Linked DNA regions of Cricetulus griseus. The protein of the gene in region 1 interacts with the protein of each later gene in a pairwise test. Links are inferred from orthologs where the notes say so. Each region holds a gene or a part of one and is shown in the gene's direction. Other genes may lie near its edges. The genes, in order: CUNH1orf109, Rint1, Ppp1r12c and Vps52.

What was found.
Region 2: the proteins of CUNH1orf109 (region 1) and Rint1 interact in binary tests that used the Homo sapiens proteins (3 or more experiments, as listed by UniProt). The two-hybrid records come from large-scale screens. The link is inferred for Cricetulus griseus from reciprocal best matches to the Homo sapiens genes AIRIM and RINT1.
Region 3: the proteins of CUNH1orf109 (region 1) and Ppp1r12c interact in binary tests that used the Homo sapiens proteins (3 or more experiments, as listed by UniProt). The two-hybrid records come from large-scale screens. The link is inferred for Cricetulus griseus from reciprocal best matches to the Homo sapiens genes AIRIM and PPP1R12C.
Region 4: the proteins of CUNH1orf109 (region 1) and Vps52 interact in binary tests that used the Homo sapiens proteins (3 or more experiments, as listed by UniProt). The two-hybrid records come from large-scale screens. The link is inferred for Cricetulus griseus from reciprocal best matches to the Homo sapiens genes AIRIM and VPS52.

Annotation. Positions count from the first base shown.
Region 1 is NC_048595.1:28,110,511-28,115,108, reverse strand, and holds the end of CUNH1orf109 (uncharacterized protein C1orf109 homolog), read left to right. Parts: intron 1-1,092; coding exon 1,093-1,211; intron 1,212-1,345; coding exon 1,346-1,425; 3' UTR 1,426-2,814; downstream 2,815-4,598. UniProt on the Homo sapiens protein: Part of the 55LCC heterohexameric ATPase complex which is chromatin-associated and promotes replisome proteostasis to maintain replication fork progression and genome stability.
Region 2 is NW_023276806.1:170,797,747-170,803,315, reverse strand, and holds part of Rint1 (RAD50-interacting protein 1), read left to right. Parts: intron 1-2,310; coding exon 2,311-2,510; intron 2,511-5,569. UniProt on the Homo sapiens protein: Involved in regulation of membrane traffic between the Golgi and the endoplasmic reticulum (ER); the function is proposed to depend on its association in the NRZ complex which is believed to play a role in SNARE assembly at the ER.
Region 3 is NC_048602.1:23,163,764-23,169,332, reverse strand, and holds the end of Ppp1r12c (protein phosphatase 1 regulatory subunit 12C), read left to right. Parts: coding exon 1-42; intron 43-114; coding exon 115-242; intron 243-350; coding exon 351-424; intron 425-888; coding exon 889-1,041; intron 1,042-1,123; coding exon 1,124-1,191; intron 1,192-1,482; coding exon 1,483-1,614; intron 1,615-1,774; coding exon 1,775-1,865; intron 1,866-1,980; coding exon 1,981-2,064; intron 2,065-2,135; coding exon 2,136-2,196; intron 2,197-2,347; coding exon 2,348-2,433; intron 2,434-3,415; coding exon 3,416-3,456; intron 3,457-3,533; coding exon 3,534-3,636; intron 3,637-3,725; coding exon 3,726-3,830; intron 3,831-4,010; coding exon 4,011-4,061; intron 4,062-4,146; coding exon 4,147-4,197; intron 4,198-4,274; coding exon 4,275-4,361; 3' UTR 4,362-4,894; downstream 4,895-5,569. UniProt on the Homo sapiens protein: Regulates myosin phosphatase activity.
Region 4 is NW_023276806.1:232,052,826-232,058,394, reverse strand, and holds part of Vps52 (vacuolar protein sorting-associated protein 52 homolog), read left to right. Parts: intron 1-306; coding exon 307-359; intron 360-496; coding exon 497-572; intron 573-1,493; coding exon 1,494-1,561; intron 1,562-1,779; coding exon 1,780-1,955; intron 1,956-2,382; coding exon 2,383-2,533; intron 2,534-2,921; exon of another isoform or gene 2,922-3,025; intron 3,026-3,303; coding exon 3,304-3,404; intron 3,405-3,485; coding exon 3,486-3,618; intron 3,619-3,738; coding exon 3,739-3,796; intron 3,797-5,091; coding exon 5,092-5,225; intron 5,226-5,535; coding exon 5,536-5,569. UniProt on the Homo sapiens protein: Acts as a component of the GARP complex that is involved in retrograde transport from early and late endosomes to the trans-Golgi network (TGN).

The DNA of each region.
Region 1 (4,598 bases):
GTTCTTTTGAGATGAATGTTCTCAGAAGATTTTAAGCAGAATAGTGTGGCCAAGGCTTATGCTTAGCATTCATGAGGAGGTCAGAGGATAACTTAACAGAATGGGTTCTCTCCTTCCACCATATGGCTCCCATTTAGTTCATTGGATTTGGCAGCAAGCACCTTCACCCAGTGAACCATCTTGGCAGCCCCTGGCATGGATGCTTAATCCTGTATCCCCTCCTGACTTTCCTCTATCTCCAGATTCTCTCTCTGAGCTGTCTGTGGTTATGTACCACAGTCATCTTCATGAGGTCTAGGTCTAGTTGTGTTCAACCAGGAGTTGTCAGCTCTTCTGTTGCTGGTGGGGTAGGGCTCAGAATCCCTACCTTGTCCTCCACTGCTGCCTTTATACTGGCTGAAGCCACCTTTCAACTACTTTCTACTTTAGCCAACCGTGTCAGGACACTGGGAGGCTTGCAGTGCCAGTCCACTCCATGCTTCCTCTGCCCTGTGCCTTTGTTTCTCTGTTTCTTCCAGTGGTGTGTTCATCTGAACTGCCAGACTTTTGTTTTTGTGTTTGTTACCATTTTGATTTCTCTAAATAGTGCTGGGATTAAAGGCGTGGGCCTCTACAGCTGACTAGAACTGCCACTGAGTTGTTTTGTTTTGTTATTTTTTTAATAATGTATTTACTTTTATTTTATGTGCATTGGTGTTTTGCCTGCATGTATGTCTGTGTATTTTGCCGGCATGTATGTCTTAATAACCATGTATGTCTCAGATCTTGAAGTTACAGATAGCTGTTAGCTGCCATGTGGGTGCTGGGAACTTGTGTTCTCTGTTAGAGCAGTCGATGCTTTTAACCACTGAGCCATCACTCCAGTCCCCTGTCACTGAGTTTTATCTTTCAAGTCACTTTGCTCTTCTGTCTGGTCCACCCTCAGCCTGTGAGATCCGAGTCCCTTTCCTAGTAGCATCAAGTTGTACTGCGGTACTGGTGCTCATCATTCCTCTTGGCACTGGTGAACCCTGCCCACCTGGGAAGGTATATTGATGTCACTTTTAGCTTCCCAGATTTCCTTTTTTTGAACAGTCCTTAACTTCTGGGAAGGTACCTGAAGAGAAAATACCTCCTTTCCTCCATCCACTGGGGAGACTTGGCCAGCATCCAAGCACTGCCTAAGGCCTGGAACCAAATTTCAGAAGATGAGTGCCAAACCCTTGTGCCAGGTACTGGTTTCCATTAGTTCCCCATGCTGCCTCCCTATCCCTGTTGCTGCTTGCCTCTTTGGAGGTGTTAGAGACAACCCTGCTGTGCTTTGGGGCCTTAATAACCCTGTCTTGTACCCCTCTTCCTGTTCTAGATATCCTGGTGAGCGTCTCCTTCTTCCTGGAGGAGCCAGGATGCTGCACAGTGTCTGGAGATCAGGAGTCCCGCAGTTGAGTGCAGCCCTCAGCTTTCTAAGTGAACCTCAGCACCACAGCCTGATGGACTGAGACACCAGTTCCTATGGTAGAGGTCCCTAGCATGACTTCTTGCTAGGCCATGGCCAAGGATCCATGACCACTGCACCTGCGGCTCTGGGAGGTGGATGGGGTGGAGGAAACAGGAAAGGCAGCGCTGATAAGCGGTGTCCATCGCTATCAGTAGGCTTGAAGTGGCAAGGAAGGAAAGGACAGGAGGCAAAGGTCCACAGCTGCCTCCGCCTCTGCGTCAGCTGAAGCACTTTGGTTGACTCAGGTCTTGGTTATGTGTGTATCACTATCTTGAGTCCTTAGTGGTTTAAAGATAGGAGTGGGTCTAGGAGTGAAGGGCAGTAGCAGTGTGTGTGTTGCACACATGAAGCCCGATTCAATCCAAAAAAGGGACGGATTGAAGGAAAGGGAGCATTTAAAATGTTTATCCCTTCCCAGTAGGAATCAAGCCAATTTCCATTTCCAAAGCCAGCCACCAGGGGGAGATGGTGCAGCGTGAGCGGTTCTGAATGCTTTGTCCTGGAGAGGTCCCCTGTTGCTGTTAAAAGTAACTGAGGGGGGCTGGAGAGATGGCTCAGCAATTAAGAACACTGGCTGCTTTTGAGGACCCACATGGCAGCTCACAACTGTCTGTAACACCAGCTCCAGGGGATCTGACACCTTCACACCAATGCACATAAAAGAAATAAGTTAAATAAAGTTAAAAAAAAAAAAGTAACTTAGTGCTGGGAATATCAAACCCACCACTGGTGAGGCAAATACAGGTGAGCTCTGTGATTTTGAGATCATCCTGGTCTACATAGCCTCCAGACTAACCAAGACTACATACTGAGGTGCTGTCTCAAAAAAAAAAAAAAAAAAAAAAAAAAAGGAAAAAAAAAGGAAAAAGAAAAGCGGGAAAGAAAGAAGTTAACTGAGAAGAGTGATACTACTACTCAGATCCAGGGTTGTGACCTCTCATTGGCTATATTCTTCTGGGTTTGGAGTGACTGCTCAGGTAGGCAAATATGCCAGCTGATTAGTTGGCATATGCCATTGATTGTTAGTTGTGATTGATTGTTTGACCTGGGGAGGGAGTCTCAACAAGGAATGTTGTAGATTTGGGTGGCCTGCAGGCAAGCCTGCAGAATTTTCTTAATTGTGGTGAAAAGAGCCATCCTGAATGTGGTGTCATTTCATGGCTGGGCCCTAGATGGAATGAGAGAGCAGGCTGAGCACTAGCAGACATGCATTAATCCATTGTTCTTTACCATGGGTGTCATGTGACCAGCTGCTCCAAGTGCTTGCAGCCTTGATGTTTCTGCAATGATGGACTGTACCCTCAAATTATGAGCCTAATAAACCCTTTCTCCCTTCAGTTGCACTTGTCTGTGTTTTAGGGTTCTCTAAAGGAACAGAACTGATAGAATACATACATATATATGGGGGGGAAGAGAGGGAGGGAGGGGGATATTGGAGTGAGAGGGAGGGCAGGCAAGCCTAATGCAAAAGCTTTCTTCTTCCATGTGCTTTTATGTGGTCCAGACTTGGGATGGGTCTTCCCACCTCAAATGATCCAGATTTAGGGTGGGTCTTCCCACCCCTAATGATCCAGTCAAGAAAATCCCTCACAGACATGCCCAGTTGCGTGGGTTTTGGGTTTTAGTTGATTCCAGCTGTGGTCAAGTTGACAGCCAAGATTGGCCATCATACACAGTAACAGGAAATAAGCTGAGAAGCAGCCTTGAGTCATTGATCAGAGCCATACTCACCCTCTGTGCAGTGGCCACTTGCCTTGGGATCCCAGCTGGTAGAAGTCAAGGCTGCCATGAACAGGACTTAATACAGAGGATGGATACATTTAAAAAGAAAGTGGCTTTGTTTAGTTTTGTTTGAAACAGATACTTAATGGTGTTTGGTAATAACTTACTTAAATAGAATTGTTCTTTTTTTCTTCACTCTTTTGTTTATTTGTTTTTTGTTTTTCCCACAGGGTTTCAGGGTTTCTCTGTAGCTTTGGAATCTGTCCTGGAACTCACTCTGTAGACCAGGCTGGCTTCAAATTCACAGAGATCCACCTGCTTCTGCCTCCTGAGTGCTTAGATTAAAGGCGTGCACCATCACAGCCTGGCTGTTTTCTTCACTCTTAGTTTTTCTACTAAAAATGCTATCTTTTCTCTTTTTTTCTTTTACTAAGAATGCATTTAAGTTCCTGATGCCTGTGGAGGCCAGAGGAGGGCTTTGGATCTCCTAGAACTAAAGCTATAGATGGTTGTAAGCTGCCATGTGGGTGCTGGGAACTGAACCTGAGTCTTCTGCTAGAACAGCAAGTGCCCTAAACCACTGAGACAGCTCTCCAGTCCCTAAAATGACAACCTTTTCATTATTTTGGATAAAATAAATATGATTTACTTGTTGAATAAGGTACACATAACCTAAAGTGTAAAATGTACACAGATATATTTAGTGAAAAATTTTCCCCCATCTGCCCACTTCTCTTCATTGCAGACAGCCATTGCTAAGTGCTCTGGTGTCTCTGGAATGGTGGGTATTCTCTGAAGTGGTCCCTGGTGACCCCACCTCTAATATTCATGGCCTTGTGTACTCCTTGCCTTTTGATGGGGGCCTCTCTGTAGCTCCGCTGCTAATGGGTAGAATAGTGAGAGTCACTTCTGGGAATAGACTATAAAGAGCACACTTCTGTCTTGGCTGCTGCCCCTTGCTCTGTCTTACATCTCCCACTTTTGGGGACGTCAGCCAAAACTTCGTATTTCCACCTAGTAGAGAGACATGGGAGAGTTCTGTGCTGGACAACACCATGTGAAGGAGCTTGGAAATGTCCTCCCTGCACTGGTTGAACCTTTAGACGGGTCCACAGCTCCACATGACAGCCTAGCCTCATAAGGACCTGAGCTAAAAATGCCAGCAGAGCTGTGCTTGGATTCCTGGCACATGCAAGTGGAAAAATTATTTAAATCATGTATGCTTAAGGGAACTTTCCTCCCACAGCAGCATATAGCTGACATAGGAAACAACAGTTTTGAGTTTTGTTTTTTTCATTGTTTTAGTGAATATAGTGACATATACCCACTTTTTTTTTTTTTTTCCCCCCGAGACAGGGTTTCTCTGTGTGTAGCTTTGGAGCCTATCCTGGCACTCGCT
Region 2 (5,569 bases), on another chromosome or scaffold:
AGTAGAGAGGACATTGAGTAAAGCTCTGAAGTTGAAGACTGAATTGCCTTGGAGAACCCAGGAGGTTAGAGATAGAAAAGTTGTGGGAGAGCTGCCAAGGAGAACTGCTAACAGGAGTGGAACCAGCCCAAGAGAAAGAAGTATGTTACAGTCAATAAAACTGAACAGAATTGGAGATATGAAGTGCATCTTGAAATCAGACATGTTGAAGCCTGAGGTTCATGTGTATGTCCATGGACTGGGCTGCTGGTGGGGTCTATGTTGATGACTGAGGTCCATGCTATCAGGGGAGGCCAGATGTATGTTCATAGTCTGCTAATGCAGAGGCCCGTGCTAGTGTCTGTGGTCCAGGTTGCTACTGGAGGCCTGTGCTTGATGCTGATGTGTGGCCTGCACTGCCCCATGAGGCCATGTTGATGGCCATGGTCCATGCTGTTGCCAGAAACCATATGGCAGTCCATGACCTGTGCTCCCACTGACTGTGAAAGGCAAGGAAGCTACTTTTGATGGTGGACACACAGTTGAGAAAGAGAGTCATAGAGAGCTTGTGACAACACCTACCCACCCCCTACCCCACCCCCAACAAAGTAACAGCCTAGATAGTCAGCCATCAAAGAGAACTCTTAAAATTGTGATAAGGAAAAGACAGACATTGTATGTACTCACTCATATGTGGATTTTAGACATAGAGTAAAGGATTGCCAGCCTGTAGCCCAGGCTGCCAGAGAGGCTGGTAAACAAAGAGGACCCTAAGAGACACATACATAGTCCCCTGGAGAAGGGGAAAGGGGCAAGATCTTCTGAGCAAATTGGGAGCATGGGAGGAGGGGAGAGGGAACTAGGAGAATGAGAAGGGGAGAAGAGGAGGGGTGAGGAAGACATGATGGGACAGGGAGGTTGAGTTGGGGGAAGAACAGAAGAGAGCAAGATAAGAGATAATATAATAGAGGGAGACATTATAAGTTTAAAGAGAAATCAGGCACTAGGGAAATGTCTAGAGAGCTACAAAGATGACACCAACTAACAATCTAAGCAACAGAGGAGAGGCTACCTTAAATGCCTTTTCCTGATAATGAGATTGATGACTAATTCATATGCCATCGTACAGCCTTCATCTAGCAGCTGGTGGAAGTAGAAGCAGACACCCACAGCTAAACACTGGATTGGAATCCAGTTGCAGAGAAGGAGGAGTGATGAGCAAAGGGGTCCAGACCAGGCTGGGGAAACCCACAGAAACAGCTGACCTGAACAAGGGAGAGCTCATGGTCTCCAGACTGATAGCTGGGAAACCAGCATGGGACTGATCCAGACCCCCTGAATGTTGGTGTCAGTGAGGAGACCTCAGAAATCTATGGGGCCCTTGTAGTGGATCAGTACTTATCCCTAGCATAGGAATGGACTTTGGGAGCCCATCCCACATGGAGGGATACTCCCTGAGTCTAGACACACGGGGGTGGGCCTAGGCCCTATCTCAAAGAATATGACAGGCTTTGAAGACCCCCTATGGAAGGCCTCACCCTCCCTGAGGAGCAGAAAGGGTATGGGATAGGTAGGGCATTAGTTGGGGGGGCAGGGGAGGAGGGGGAGGGAGAGGGACCTGGGATTGACATGTAAAATAATTTTCTTTCTAATAAAAAAAAGGGGAAAAATTGTGATAAGGATGTTGAAGTGTAGTTTTCCACAATTGATCGATGGCTTTTGGCAGGAATGTGGGAGAACATGCTCCAGTGAGTATATGGGCAACACAAATTGGACTTGTGTGTTTTTGGTTTTTTTGTTTCTTCTTTTTCTTTTTGGTGGGTGGGGGTCACAAAGATGGTGGGAATGGACCTTGGGTGCATTATGTGAAATTCCTAAATAATCAATAAAAATATTTTGTTGGAAAAAAGAAAAGGATAGCCAGATATCTTGGTGCATACCTTTAATCCCAATACCAGGATTTTAGAGGTAGAGGCTAGAGAATCAGGGATTCAAAGTCATTCGTAGCTACATATGAAATTGGAGGCCAGCCTGGGCTCTCAAGCCCTTCTCACCAGAGCTACTAGCTTAAGGAACAGTTGTTTCAAAACATAATTTGCTTTTTTAAAATGAGACATGATTTATGTATAGCAAAACACACAGATCTAGATCTTAAGTATTCTTAAGTATACTGTTGGATGAGTCCTGACATGTTTTACCTTTGTAATCCTTAAGAGTTTAGAAATGGTCAGTTGAGATATTTCATAAAGACAGTAAAGTAGAGCTTTAGGGAAAACTACCTGTGGTGACAGTGCCAAACCCCTTCATGTGTTTTGTAAACGTTCTCCACAGACAGGTATAAGAATCTTCCCACAGCCCCCCGAAAGCTGCAGTTCCTGGAGTTACAGAAGGACCTAGTAGATGACTTTAGGATACGATTGACCCAGGTGATGAAAGAAGAGACCAGGGCTCCACTTGACTTCCGATACTGTGCAATTCTTAATGCCGTGAACTACATCTCAACAGTCCTGGCAGACTGGGCTGACAATGTTGTGAGTTAATGTGCTTTTATATTTCCATAAATAATGTATTAGTGCTGTGATCTTTAACATTTGAAACATTGACTCTGTTGCAAGCAAAAAAATTATGTTAGACAAAAAGCATAATGATGCCAAATTTAGAAAATGTGAATAAAGGTTTATCTCAGTCATATCTAAAACAGTTAAATAATACTAGTTATTTAATAACTTCACTCATTAGAGGGCTGGGGGTATAGCTCAGTAGGAGCATATAATTGCCAGGACCATTGATTGAGAGAAAGAAAGAGATAAAGGAGAAAACTATCAGGTGTCTTAGGTTAGCTGTAATCCCAGCACTTGGAAATATGGATCAGGAGCCTCAAGGTCATTCTTAGTGATGTAGTGACTTTCAGGCCAGCTTAAGTTTCTTGAGGTCCTACTTCAAAAACAAACAAAAGAAAGGAAACAAAGCAAACAAAGACAGACACACAGACTTCCATGAATAGCTATATGGCATGAACCATTTTTCTCTTCCAGCTTTGTACTCTGGAAATAATAATAGGCTAAATGCTAACACAGAAAAGTCATTATTTTATAATGATGTCAAAATCAATAAATTTAAATCAGTGGTAGAGTTCAGTGGCAGAGCATGGTGGAAAGTCCTAGTTTCATTTCCCAGCACTGCAAAGAAGAAAAAAACCTAACACTTGACTCTTTTGGATATCTTCAAAACAGGGCTATCTTAGTTATGGTTCCTGTTGCTGTAATAAAACACTGTGACCAAAAGCAACTTGTAGTGCATCATCCAGGGAGTCAGGGCAGGAACATGGAGACAGGAGCTGATGCAGAAGTCACAGAGGACTGTTGCTTATTGGATTGCTCTCCATTGCTTGCTCAGTCTGCTTTTTTAAAATAGCACCAAGGACCACCAAGCCAGGGGTGATGCCACCCACAAGGGCTGGAACTTCCTACATGAATAATTAAGAAAATGCAGTACAGGCCTGCCCACCGGCACATCTGGTGGGTGCATTATGTATCTGCCACTCTTACTGTTTTTTTTTTTAAAGATTTTTTTTTAATGTGTGCTAGTGTTTTGACTGCATGTAAGTGTGTGTACCTCATATGTGCAGTATCCACAGAGGCTAGAAGATCCCCCCAAACTGGAGTTACAGAGGGTTGTAAGCTACCATGTGGGTGCTGGCCACTGAACCTGGATCCTGTGAAAGAGTAGAAAGTGCTTTTAACTCCAGACTCTCTCTCCTTCTTACACTACTGGGTCCTGTGAAAGAGTAGTAAGTGCTTTTAACTCCAGACTCCCTCTCCTTATTCAAATCACTGCAGTATATGTTCAAACATTTAAGGTTTTTTTTTTTTCAAGATAACGTTTCTCTGTGGCTTTGGAGGCTGTCCTGGAACTAACTCTTGTAGACCAGGCTGGTCTCGAACTCACAGAGATCCACCTGCCTTCTGTGTGCTGGGACTAAAGGCGTGTGCCACCACCGCCCTGCCACATTTAAGTTTTAATCTTGTTATTAATCTAAACAAAATATATTGGCTGTTAGCTAAGTAATGGTAACCAGGTTTTCTGGTATGCATTCCACTCAAATATGCCTTGAGGGACTGAGGCTGTGGCTCAGTTTGTAGAATCATTGCCCCTATGCATAAGCCCCGGGTTTGATTCCACACAGCATAAAGTGGGCATGTGGCAAAGTCTGTGATACCAGCACATGGGAGGTAGAGGCAGGAAAATCAGAAGTTCTAGGTTATCCTCAGCTGCACAGGAAGTTCAAGTTTAGCCTGGGGTACATGAAATCCTCCCTCACAAAACAACAACAAAAGCCTTTATAGTTTCAACATTGGTTAATTTCTCTTAGATACTTTAGATCCAGTACTAAAGTGATTTCAGAGGGCCTGTGGGCTGACTTCTTGGGCAGGGTGCTGTTTATCTACATCCATAGATGTTCTAAAACTGAGATAACAGCTATGCATTTGGCTTTATACTTGTGTATAAGTACATAAAGTACATTTCATGACAGAAGCCATTCATAAGGATCTTAGATAACCATGCGATGGTGAAATATCCACTACACTGTAAAAACTATGATGAGCAAATAGGCACATTATAAACGTAAGCTGTTATATATCATAAAAACAAAATAGGCAAAAAACCCCAAATAGACAGATATACCACTTAAAAATATAGTATGTATAGGGGAATTAAAAAAATGATACGTTTGAGGTTAGGATTTAGCTCAGTGGCAGAGTTCTTGCTTAGTACAAATGAAGCCCTAGATTCAGTCTCTTGTAGACCAGGCTGGTCTCGAACTCACAGAAATCTGCCTGCCTCTGCCTCCCGAGTGCTGGGATTAAAGGCATTGGCCAACACCGCCTGGCTACATAACAAGATCTTAAAACAGTACAAAAAAGAAAACAAACAAAACTCTTACATGCACCAAAGCCAAAACAAAACCCAGACAACAAACCCACACAAAACTGCTACCAGTGTGCATGGAGAGAGCTTTAAGCCTCTGTATATGGCAGGTGAAGATGTAAGCTACTGCAGCTGCTGAGGAAGACAACCTGGCAGTTCTTTAGACAGCAAGATGGAATTAAAAATCCAGCAGTTCCACTCCTCCAGACAGGCAAAGACAAACAGGAACACCATTTCTCACAGAAAAAATGCACACACCATTGTTTTCAGAAACATTAAGCATAAGAGATACAAAATAGAAATAATCCAAACATCCAGCAGCTAGTGGAGTGGATAAAATGTAATATGTTTATATGATGGAGTATTTGGGGGTAATAAAAACAGATGAAGTACATAGTACATGCTATAGAACTAAGTGAAAGAAGTTGGTCATAAAGAATAATACTTCATTTGGTTCCATTTCCTTAAAATGTCCAGAATTGTCAAAACCATAGACAGAGAGTAGATTAGTGATTGCTTAGACTTGAAGGGAGTGTGGAGAAAATGAAAATACAGGTAATGAATGAGGGGTTTTGTTGCAGGAAGCTAGGACAGTATTGTAGAATTGTGATGGATACACAACTCTGAATTACTGAAACTATCAAATTGTAATAAAAAGGAT
Region 3 (5,569 bases), on another chromosome or scaffold:
AGGCCAAGAGCCACAGGTGCCCTCCAACAGCAAGCACAGAAGGTAAGAGATGCCTAGGCCTGGGGTGGGTCGGACTCGCCCCCAGACTTGGACACGGACACCCTGTCCTCCTAGGAGCTCCGTGTGTCGTTTGAGCAGCCGTGAGAAGATCTCCCTGCAGGATCTGTCGAAGGAGCGCCGGCCTGGTGGGGCCGCGGGCCCCTCTCTTGGGGATGAGGATGAGGGAGAAGAAGAGGCAGCTGGTAGGGATGCTGGACCCTGGGTCTGAGGAAGGAGCTGGACTTGTGGGTCCCCAATCTCAGAGGCGGCCGGCCTCTCCTGTGACCCCCCTCTCCTGTTCCTGCACACAGATCACCCTCCTGTGCAACCAAGAGCCCTCAATGGCGTGTCTTCTCCTGTGTCCTCCAGCCCCAAGAGCCCTGTGGTGAGCCTGAGCGCCCTGAGCAGATGTGAGGTTTGGGGCAGCGGGTGGGATACGGTAAATACTTCTGCTTCCGCTGAGGAAGGTGGCTTTTTGACTTGGTTCTTAGGTCCTTGTGGACCAAGAAGTAATGTTTTTTTTTTTTTTTTTTTGGTGGCACCTGCCTGGGCTGTGGTTTACTGTAATTCTCCTGGAGTTACACTCTTAGGCTCTGAAGAGAAGGGTCATTGCTTTGGCTGTGGTTTACTGTAATTCCCCTGGAGCTACACGCGTAGGCTCTGAGGAGAAGGGCCATTGCTTTGGCTGTGGTTTACTGTGATTCTCCTGGAGTTACACGCGTAGGCTCTGAGGAGGAGGGTCATTGCTTTGGCTGTGGTTTACTGTAATTCCCCTGGAGTTACACGCGTAGGCTCTGAGGAGAAGGGTCATTGCTTTGCTCAGTAATGAAGACCTTCTTCCTCTCCCAGCCGCCAGAAGAGGCTCCCTTCTCCAGGCGCGGCGGTCTCCAGAAGACAGGAAGCTCTGGTGCCCTGGGTCCCTCAGAGAGGAGGGGTGCAGAGGGGGTTCTCGGTCTGCAGCGCTCAGCCTCCTCCTCCCTCCTAGAAAAGGCCTCCTCTCAGGTAGGTGCCGTGAAGTGTGTGGGGTACAGGCTCCTGCCTTGGGGCAGACAGTGCCTCCTTTGCTTCTCTCCTGTCTCCACAGGCCAGGGAACCCCGTCTTGCCAGAATAACCCCTACCCCTGCCCAGAAAGTGCCAGAGCCCTCTACCCTGTAAGTACCAGTGGCTGGGGCAGGGGCACAGGTCTGGTGCCATCCTGGCATTTGAGATCTGAGAAAGCCCTTAGGGTGCATCAAATAATTGCTTATTCTCTTTATTTTTTCCAAGCACCTTTTCTCCCCAAGCTCCACACTGGTCTCTTTGGCTGCTGTTTGTTTTATCTGTTTTGCCCAGAAATGGCTCATCAGCAGCCATGATTGGCTCCTTCTCTGTGGTCTCTCCTATGCCTGACACAGAATGCGGGCTTGAGGAATATTTGCTGATGAATGAATGAATCCATACAGGTGTGAGGCTGCCATGCCTCCTTCTTCGGATCACTCCGCCCCATCCTCCAGGAGGGAGCCTGGATCCCCAGTGAAGCCAAATGCCCTCGTAGCCTCTGCAGCAGCCCTACCTGACTCCAGGGATCGGCGGAGGTAAAGAGGCTAGGGGAAGACAGTGTTTAGGGGTCTCTGGGGCTCTGGGTAGGCTCCTGGGGTCCTGTTTGCCCAGTTGACACGTTCTCTGCCAGAATGTGCACTCCCCTAAGGTGTCATTCACAGTGCGACAGCACCCAAGGGGACATTCTCCACTCAGGTCCTACCAGATGCCTGTGCGTGATGAAGAGTCCGAGTCTCAGCGGAAGGCTCGCTCCCGCCTTATGCGCCAGTCTCGGAGGTCTACACAGGTGTGGGATGGGGCTGGGGCTGTGCTCCCGGGTCTGAGGGAGGAGGGCCGGGGTCTTGAACTTGAGTCCTGTGGAAGTCTAGGCCCTTTTTCCTTGACCGAGTTCTCTACACTAGGGCGTGACCTTGACAGACTTGAAGGAAGCAGAGAAGGTGGCAGGGAAGGCTCCAGAGCCAGAGCAGCCTGCCCTGCCCAGCCTGGTGAGCAGGGTCAGGTGAACTGGGGCGGGTGGACCCGTCTCCCTGTTTCTGACTGTGCTCCTCCCCGGCAGGACCCTTCTCGGAGACCTCGGGTCCCTGGCGTGGAGAACGCTGAGGGCCCTGCCCAGAGAGGTGAGGTCGGCTTTCTGGGAAGTCGCTCCCCAAGGAGCCATCCTGTCTCCCCATAAAGTGTCTTTGTTCACTGGGGGCTAAGTCAGGTTCCCTGCACAGTAGACAGGGGCCCCTATGGTGGTGTCTGAGCTGATTCCCACTGGTTCCCCAGCAGAGGCGCCCGACGGGCAGGGCCAGGGACCACAGGCGGCCAGGGAGCATCGAAAGGTCGGCCACGAGCGAAGGGGGCCCGCAGAGGTGAGGATGCTGTGTGGAGGCCGGGCGGGCTGGAGGGAGGGGCCGCAGAGGTGAGGATGCTGTGTGGAGGCCGGGCGGGCTGGAGGGAGGGGCCGCAGAGGTGAGGATGCTGCTGTGTGGAGGCGGGGCGGGCTGGAGGGAGGGGCCGCGGAGGTGAGGATGCTGTGTGGAGGCGGGGCGGACTGGAGGGAGGGGCGCGGAGGTGAGGATGCTGCTGTGTGGAGGCCGGGCGGCCTGGAGGGAGGGGCCGCAGAGGTGAGGATGCTGTGTGGAGGCCGGGGCGGGCTGGAGGGAGGGGCCGCGGAGGTGAGGATGCTGTGTGGAGGCCGGGCTGGAGGGAGGGGTCGCGGAGGTGAGGATGCTGCTGTGTGGAGGCGGGCGGCTGGAGGGAGGGGCCGCAGAGGTGAGGATGCTGCTGTGGAGGCCGGGGCGGGCTGGAGGGAGGGGCCGCGGAGGTGAGGATGCTGTGTGGAGGCGGGCGGGCTGGAGGGAGGGGCCGCGGAGGTGAGGATGCTGTGTGGAGGCGGTGTGGAGGTGAGGATGCTGCTGTGTGGAGGCGGCGGCTGGAGGGAGGGGCCGCAGGTGGTGCTGTGTGGAGGCGGGGCGGGCTGGAGGGAGGGGCCGCGGAGGTGAGGATGCTGCTGTGGAGGCGGGCGGGCTGCTGAGGCTGCCGCGGAGGTGAGGATGCTGTGTGGATGGAGGTGAGGATGCTGTGAGGCGGGGCGGCTGGAGGGAGGGCCGCGGAGGTGAGGATGCTGTGTGGAGGCCGGGGCGGGCTGGAGGGAGGTGGAGGTGAGGATGCCAGGTGAGGATGCTGCAGGGCTGAGGATGCCTGGAGGTGAGGATGCTCTGTGAGGATGCTGTGTGGAGGCCGGGTGGGCTGGAGGGAGGGCCGCGGAGGTGAGGATGCTGCTGTGTGGAGGCCGGGCGGGCTGGAGGGAGGACGTTGCATGGAGACTGAACTCTCAGGGCTCTTCTGCAGGGGGAGGAGGCGGGGCCGGCAGAACGGAGCCTGGAGTGCAGGTAGGCCGGGTCATGCGTGGGGGCTGGGGCACCCCTCGGGCAGGGCCTGGGCCCTAAGGCCTGTGGCTTCTGTCCAGCACCGTGGATGGCGGCTCCACTGCCCGTAGACAGCGTTTGCAGAGAGACCTCAATCCAGAATCCAAGCAGGAACAGGAAGAACCCGATGGAAGCTTCCGGAAGGTGCCGCATGCTACCTCCTGCCCCACCCCACCCTGTCCTGGCCCCTTCCCGGGCCCTTCTGAGCCTGCCTGCTTCCTCTGTGTCCCTAGCTGTACATGGAGCTTCGGAGGGAGAACGAGCGGCTTCGTGAGGCCCTGACAGAGACCACCCTGCGGCTGGCACAGCTCAAGGTGGAGCTTGAGCGGGCCACGCAGGTGCAGATACTGAGACCTAAGAACCAGCTGTTGGGGGCAGTGGGAGTCAGAGCTCCAGTGGCAAGGGGCCTGGCCGTGGCTGGGAGGTTGGAGGTCCCCCACCCCGGGGGGGGGGCAGGGCTCTGATGTCCTAGGGGTAAGAAGCAGCTCCTGACGCCCAGTCTTCTCTGCCCTTACCAGCGGCAGGAACGCTTTGCCGAGAGGCCCGCCCTCCTGGAGCTGGAGAGATTCGTGAGTTTGGGCCGCTGGGGTGGTGTCCCGCCCTTGCCCTGTCCCCTGCCCTTACCCTGCTTCTGAGCCCAGCCCATTCCTGCAGGAGCGCAGGGCCCTGGAGCGCAAGGCCGCAGAGCTGGAGGAGGAGCTGAAGGTAACGAGCTTGTGAAGGGCGGTGGCCAGAGCCCACCCTGCCCCGCCCTGCCCAGCTGACTCCACCCTGCCCCCTAGGCCCTGTCCGACCTCCGCGCTGACAACCAGCGGCTCAAGGATGAGAATGCAGCACTGATCCGCGTCATTAGCAAGCTCTCCAAGTGACTCTGCAGGGGCTCCCGCACCGTATTTATACAGCTGCTTTTGACACACGCACCCCTTCCCCCGAGTGAACATGAGTGACAGGGCTCCGGGGGAAGTTGTTGAGAAGCCATAACCTCCTCTCGGGACCTCAGAACCCGGAGGAAAGCACAGAGTCCCCAGAACCAGGGTGGAGGTGGGAGGCTGAGCCAGGTAGGGAAATGTTGCCGAGAGTGGGCAGGCACCAGAGATGGGACCAGGAAGGAAGCAAGGACCAAGGAAGCCAGGATCAGTATCCAGGAGCAGAGTGGCTGCCCCGGGCCCACCTCACGTGTGATGCTACCCAGTATCCCTTCCCTCCCCAGCAGGGATCCAGGAATGTGCCAAGAGCCCCACTGGCCTCTGCCAGGTGGGCCTGTATATAGGGTCCGTGTGCAATAGGGAGGGTTGTCTTCTATTTTTGCTGCCTCCTTCCCACCCATTGTCTGGGGAGGGGGAGAAGGTATTTTTGAGACAAAGCACAGGCACCACAAATAAAGTCGTGACATTGCCACTCAGTGACTTGTCTCCCCCTGGGTGTGGGGCACTGGTTCCTGCTTGTATACTCAGCCTGTGTATCTGACTGAAACCGCTCATCCATTTGGATGAGGGCCAGTGGGTGGCTGGGAGCTTGCTCACAGGTGTGGGGAGGGGAGTTTGCTCGAGTGAGCAGCTGGAGAGAAAGAGCCCCAGGTGAGGTAGGGGGGGTCAGAAGGAAGCCTGTGACCTGATCCGGGTGCTCACATTGACCCTCAGTGCTTTGGAAGTGAGCGGAGTCAGTGGCTTAACATTGAAAAGGTAGGATGGCCAACATAGGAAACTGCAAGTCTAGGTTTTCTGGGAAAGGAGTAGGTGATGGTAAGTAGTCCTTCGTGGCCACAGTGACTGGGGCAGAGCCAGGAATCAGTCTTGAGATGGATCGCGTGGTGCCTCCTCCATCCTGACAGTCAGGAATGGGCTGTTCTGCCAGCTGGCGTCACAGGAGTGAACAGCTTGGTCCAGCAGCCAGTGCACTGAGGAAGGTTGCCACTGTGTGGATTTCAGCTACAGTGCTGTGGAGAAGGGGAGAGTGCGGAGTGTGTGTGTGTGTGTGTGTGTGTGTGTGTGTGTGTGTGGTGGTGTGCCATGCTGTCTGAGGTGAACTGTGTATATGTGGTGTGTGGTATGGCTGGTGTGGGTTATAGGGTGTATGG
Region 4 (5,569 bases), on another chromosome or scaffold:
ACACACACCATAGATTCATCCAGCAAAGAAAATCCAAATAAATCCAAGGCGGGTGAGAGGCCCTTCAGCTTCTCAGAGTGCCACACACTTTAAAGCCTCCGAGCCACGATTGGGAATTCCCATTTAATATTTTTGGCTTGTGGTTGACTAGACTATGAGGAACTGAAACAGCAGAAAGTCAAAGCGACTGTTCTTTTACCTTGAGAGGATGGGGGCTGGAAGGAAAGGGGAGATTGGTGTGCGGGTACCTGATGCTGGCAGAGGGGGGCGTGGCGCCGGACCCTAGTGATGAATGTCTGTTTCCAGTTCACATTCAGGCAAATCTGGAGGATGAGTTAGTGAAGGAAGCCCTCAAAACGGTGAGGTTCTCCGCTATGCCGATCTGTCCCCGCCCTCCTCTCCTCGGGGTCTTATGTGTCCCCTCTAGCCAGTCACTGAGTCTGTTCTGGTGTCCTTTCACTGTGGCTTCATCCTGACTGTTCCTGGTTTCCCCCAGGGTGTGGATCTGCGACACTATTCCAAGCAGGTGGAGCTGGAGCTGCAGCATATTGAGCAGAAATCCATCCGGGACTGTATCCTCCGCACAGGGGAAGACACGCGCTGTCACTGACCTGGGGTGTGTGGGACCCCGGGACTGTATCCTCCGCAGAGGGGAGACACGCGCTGTCACTGACCTGGGGTGTGTGGGACCCCGGGACTGTATCCTCCGCAGAGGGGAGACACGCGCTGTCACTGACCTGGGGTGTGTGGGACCCCGGAACTGTATCCTCCGCAGAGGGGAGACACGCGCTGTCACTGACCTGGGGTGTGGGACCCCGGGACTGTATCCTCCCCACAGGGGAAGACACGCGCTGTCACTGACCTGGGCTGTGGGACCCCGGGACTGTATCCTCCACAGAGGGGAAGAGAGCGCTGTCACTGACCTGGGGTGTGGGACCCCAGGACTGTATCCTCCGCACAGGGGAAGACACGCGCTGTCACTGACCTGGGGTGTGGGACCCCGGGACTGTATCCTCCGCAGAGGGGAGACACGCGCTGTCACTGACCTGGGGTGTGTGGGACCCCGGGACTGTATCCTCCGCAGAGGGGAGACACGCGCTGTCACTGACCTGGGGTGTGGGACCCCGGGACTGTATCCTCCCCACAGGGGAAGACACGCGCTGTCACTGACCTGGGCTGTGGGACCCCGGGACTGTATCCTCCGCAGAGGGGAAGAGAGCGCTGTCACTGACCTGGGGTGTGGGACCCCAGGACTGTATCCTCCGCACAGGGGAAGACACGCGCTGTCACTGACCTGGGGTGTGGGACCCCGGGACTGTATCCAACGCACAGGGGAAGACACGCGCTGTCACTGACCTGGGGTGTGGGAGCTGTGATGCAGGTAACCCGGTAGGGTGGCATCTCTCTCGGTCCCTTTGGGGACACTAGGGGGAGGCGATGCTGGTCCTCAGAGCTCTGTGTTCACTGTGAAGCCCTTGACTTTTGTGGGTCAGACATCCAAGAGAGTGAAAACATAGCGTCCCTGCACAATCAGATCACAGCCTGCGACGCTGTCCTGGAGGTAGGTGTCCCTCCCCTGTGGCCCCTGACACCCTCTGTTTTTTTTTTTGTTTTGTTTTGTTTTTTTGTTTTGTCAGCACTTTTGTTTCCTTGGGCAAATGGAGGTTTTCCATGCTCCTGAGCTGTTGGATACTGGGGTATTCACTCAGACACTTGGGTGACACACTTGTCCCTGCCAACCCTGTGGCATGCCTACAGTGTTTTCTGCCCTTCCCATAGCGCATGGAGCAGATGCTGGGAGCTTTTCAGAGCGACCTGAGCTCCATCAGCTCTGAGATCCGGACCCTTCAGGAGCAGTCAGGAGCCATGAACATCCGTCTTCGTAATCGACAAGCTGTTCGGGGGAAGCTTGGGGAACTTGTAGATGGGCTGGTGGTGCCCTCTACTCTGGTCACGTGAGTCGATGGTTTGAAGGGTCGTGATGTCCAGAGCAGGTGGTTGAGCTGGGGTACCTATCCAGTCTACAACATAGGTCCAGGCTGAGGTTGTCAAGTGCTGTTTAGGTACCAGGTGTGCTGGCTCAAGCCTGTAAGCACACGATTGGGAGGTCAGGCAGGGGGATTGCTGCAAGTCACCAGCCTGGGCCACAGAGTGGGACCTTCTAAAAAAAAAAGGTGCATTCTAGAGATTAATGGATGGATTATAATGTCAGATGTGTATCGGGGCCTGTGGAGAGGTGGGGCTCAGGAGTTGAAATCTTCGTACCTATGATGAAGGTATGAGACTGAGGAGAGGTAGACATGTCAGGAGGGGTGTGGCTTGCGTCTGTTTCAGGACTGTCGAGTGCCCCTTCAGATCACCCCTCTCCTCCCTGCTCTGCAGAGCCATTCTGGAAGCTCCAGTGACAGAGCCCAGGTTTCTGGAACAGCTGCAGGAACTGGACGCCAAGGCAGCTGCGGTCAGAGAGCAGGAGGCCAGAGGCACAGCGGCCTGCGCAGACGTCAGAGGCGTGCTGGACCGGCTCCGGGTCAAGGTGGGGAGGGGACCGCTAGAATCAACCCCAGGAACTCACTCTGCTCCCCTCAGTGCGGGGCATCGTTGGCCCTCTGGTTTCCCTGAAAATCTACAGAGGCTGGAGCTGTGGCTCAGCGGGTAGTGGGCTTGCTTAGGGCGCCCGAAGCCCTGGGATCCACCCCCAGCTCTGCAAACATGGGCATGGTGGCCCTTGTCTACTGTGCTAGAACTCATGAGATGACAGGAAGAAGATCTGAAGCTTCAGAGTGATCTCTGCGGCACAGGGCGTTGTGGGCTTTTACTGTGAGGAAGGAAGGAAGGAGGTGACAGACAGGACCGTGGAGGGGAGGGAGAGAATACTTCCGGTGTGTACAGAGGTACATGAGACTCTGTCTCAAAACCAAACAGTGCTGGCTTTGGCAGCATAGAAACTCAAATTAGAGCACTACAGAGAAGATTAGCATGGCCTCTGTGTAAGGACACAAAAATTGATAAAGCATTCCATATTTAAAAGGGAAAAAAGAAACAGATAACCTGAAAATGTGAGGCCAGGCATGGTGGTAAGACATTTTAGCCCTAGCACTGGGGAGGGAGAGGCAGATGGACCTGTGTGAGTTCCAGGACAGCCTGGACTACACACAGAAACCCCGACTCAACAAAAGTAAATAAATAATAACACAGCACACATCGGAAGTATTCTCTCCCTCCCCTTCGCCGTCACGTCTGTCTCCTCCTTCCTCCACACAGTAAGAGCCCACAACATCATGACCTGTTTGTCCCCTCACCTAGGCGGTGACGAAGATCCGAGAGTTCATCCTCCAGAAGATTTATTCATTCAGAAAGCCGATGACCAACTATCAGATCCCCCAGACGGCCCTGCTGAAGTACAGGTCGCCACCCCGGGACGGCCTGTGAGCTTCTTAACGGCCCAGCATGGATGTCCAGGGTCTGACTCGCCCTGGCCCTTCCAGGTTCTTCTATCAGTTCCTGTTGGGCAACGAGCGAGCAACAGCCAAGGAGATCAGGGATGAGTACGTGGAGACGCTGAGCAAGATCTACCTGTCTTACTTCCGCTCCTATCTGGGGCGGCTCATGAAAGTGCAGGTGAGCCAGGCAGGGACAGGCGGGGACAGGTGTCTGTAGGCAGGGGCTTGGAGGAGGGACTGAGTTCCTCACCTGCTGGTGGTGGGCAGCCATGGTTGAGCTCTCTGTTGTTTTCTCTAGTACGAGGAAGTTGCTGAGAAGGACGATCTGATGGGTGTGGAAGACACAGCAAAGAAAGATATCCTGGACCAGGGAGCCTCGCGTCAGGCTCACCTCCCTCAAGTCAGGCTCCACCTCCCTCAAGTCAGGCTCCACCTCCCTCAAGTCAGGCTCCACCTCCCTCAAGTCAGGCTCCACCTCCCTCAAGTCAGGCTCCACCTCCCTCAAGTCAGGCTCCACCTCCCTCAAGTCAGGCTCCACCTCCCTCAAGTCAGGCTCCACCTCCCTCAAGTCAGGCTCCACCTCCCTCAAGTCAGACTCCACCTCCCTCAAGTCAGACTCCACCTCCCTCAAGTCAGGCTCCACCTCCCTCAAGTCAGGCTCCACCTCCCTCAAGTCAGGCTCCACCTCCCTCAAGTCAGGCTCCACCTCCCTCAAGTCAGGCTCCACCTCCCTCAAGTCAGGCTCCACCTCCCTCATGTCAGGCTCCACCTCCCTCAAGTCAGGCTCCACCTCCCTCAAGTCAGGCTCCACCTCCCTAATTCAGGCTCCACCTCCCTCAAGTCAGGCTCCACCTCCCTCAAGTCAGGTTCACCTCCCTCAAGTCAGGCTCCACCTCCCTCAAGTCAGGCTCCACCTCCCTCAAGTCAGGCTCCACCCCTCTCAAGTCAAGCTCCACCTCCCTCAAGTCAGGCTCCACCTCCCTCAAATCAGGCTCCACCTCCCTCAAGTCAGGCTCCACCTCCCTCAAGTCAGGCTCCACCTCCCTCAAGTCAGGCTCCACCTCCCTCAAGTCAGGCTCCACCTCCCTCAAGTCAGGCTCCACCTCCCTCAAGTCAGGCTCCACCTCCCTCAAGTCAGGCTCCACCTCCCTCAAGTCAGACTCCACCTCCCTCAAGTCAGACTCCACCTCCCTCAAGTCAGGCTCCACCTCCCTCAAGTCAGGCTCCACCTCCCTCAAGTCAGGCTCCACCTCCCTCAAGTCAGGCTCCACCTCCCTCAAGTCAGGCTCCACCTCCCTCAAGTCAGGCTCACCTCCCTCAAGTCAGGCTCACCTCCTGTCAGGCTCACAGTGGGGATGCCTGGCTCCAGCCCACAGGCCTCTGCTTACCCTGTGTCTGGGATGTAACCTTTGAGGATGTGAGAGAGAGCGAGAGCTCCCCTCCCAGAGGCTCACATCATTCTGACAGTTTTTCACGTGGATTTCGGAGGGCTTGTAGAATCCCTGACGCCCATTACAGGTATCAGGTGAAGCGAGGCCCTGGTTCTGGAAGGGATGTCCAGCTCATATTTAGCTTCCCAGAGTGCTCAGGTCTTGGCTTCATGGCCTGCTTGGTCATTCTCAGTGTTTTCCCTGACTCTGATGCTGTTCACGATTCTTCTCGAAGCCGTCCCTCCGAAGCAGGAACACCATCTTCACCCTGGGCACCCGTGGTGCGGTCATCTCCCCCACCGAACTGGAGGCCCCCATCCTGGTGCCCCATACTGCCCAGCGTGGGGAGCAGAGGGTATGAGGAGGCCCCCTCCGTGGCTGGGGATCAATTCGCCTGCTGCGCTGTGGGGACAGGAGCCATGGGCTTAGGGTGCAGAGGGAGACTGGTCGTGGGGTGGCTGTCATGAGGCAGCAGCTGGAGTGGATGTGGGGATGGCCGCAGCCAGTGGGGTGGGCTTTCCTTGTGTCCTGTGCGCCCCCAGGGTGCCCCTCCCTTCCTGGAGGTGAGGTATGTGTGGGGTCTTCCGAGCTCTGGTTCCTGGGATACACTGAGCCCCCGTATCTGCGGGGTCAGTGTTGGATCCACCCCTCTCTCTGTCCCGTAGTATCCGTTTGAAGCTCTCTTCCGCAGCCAGCACT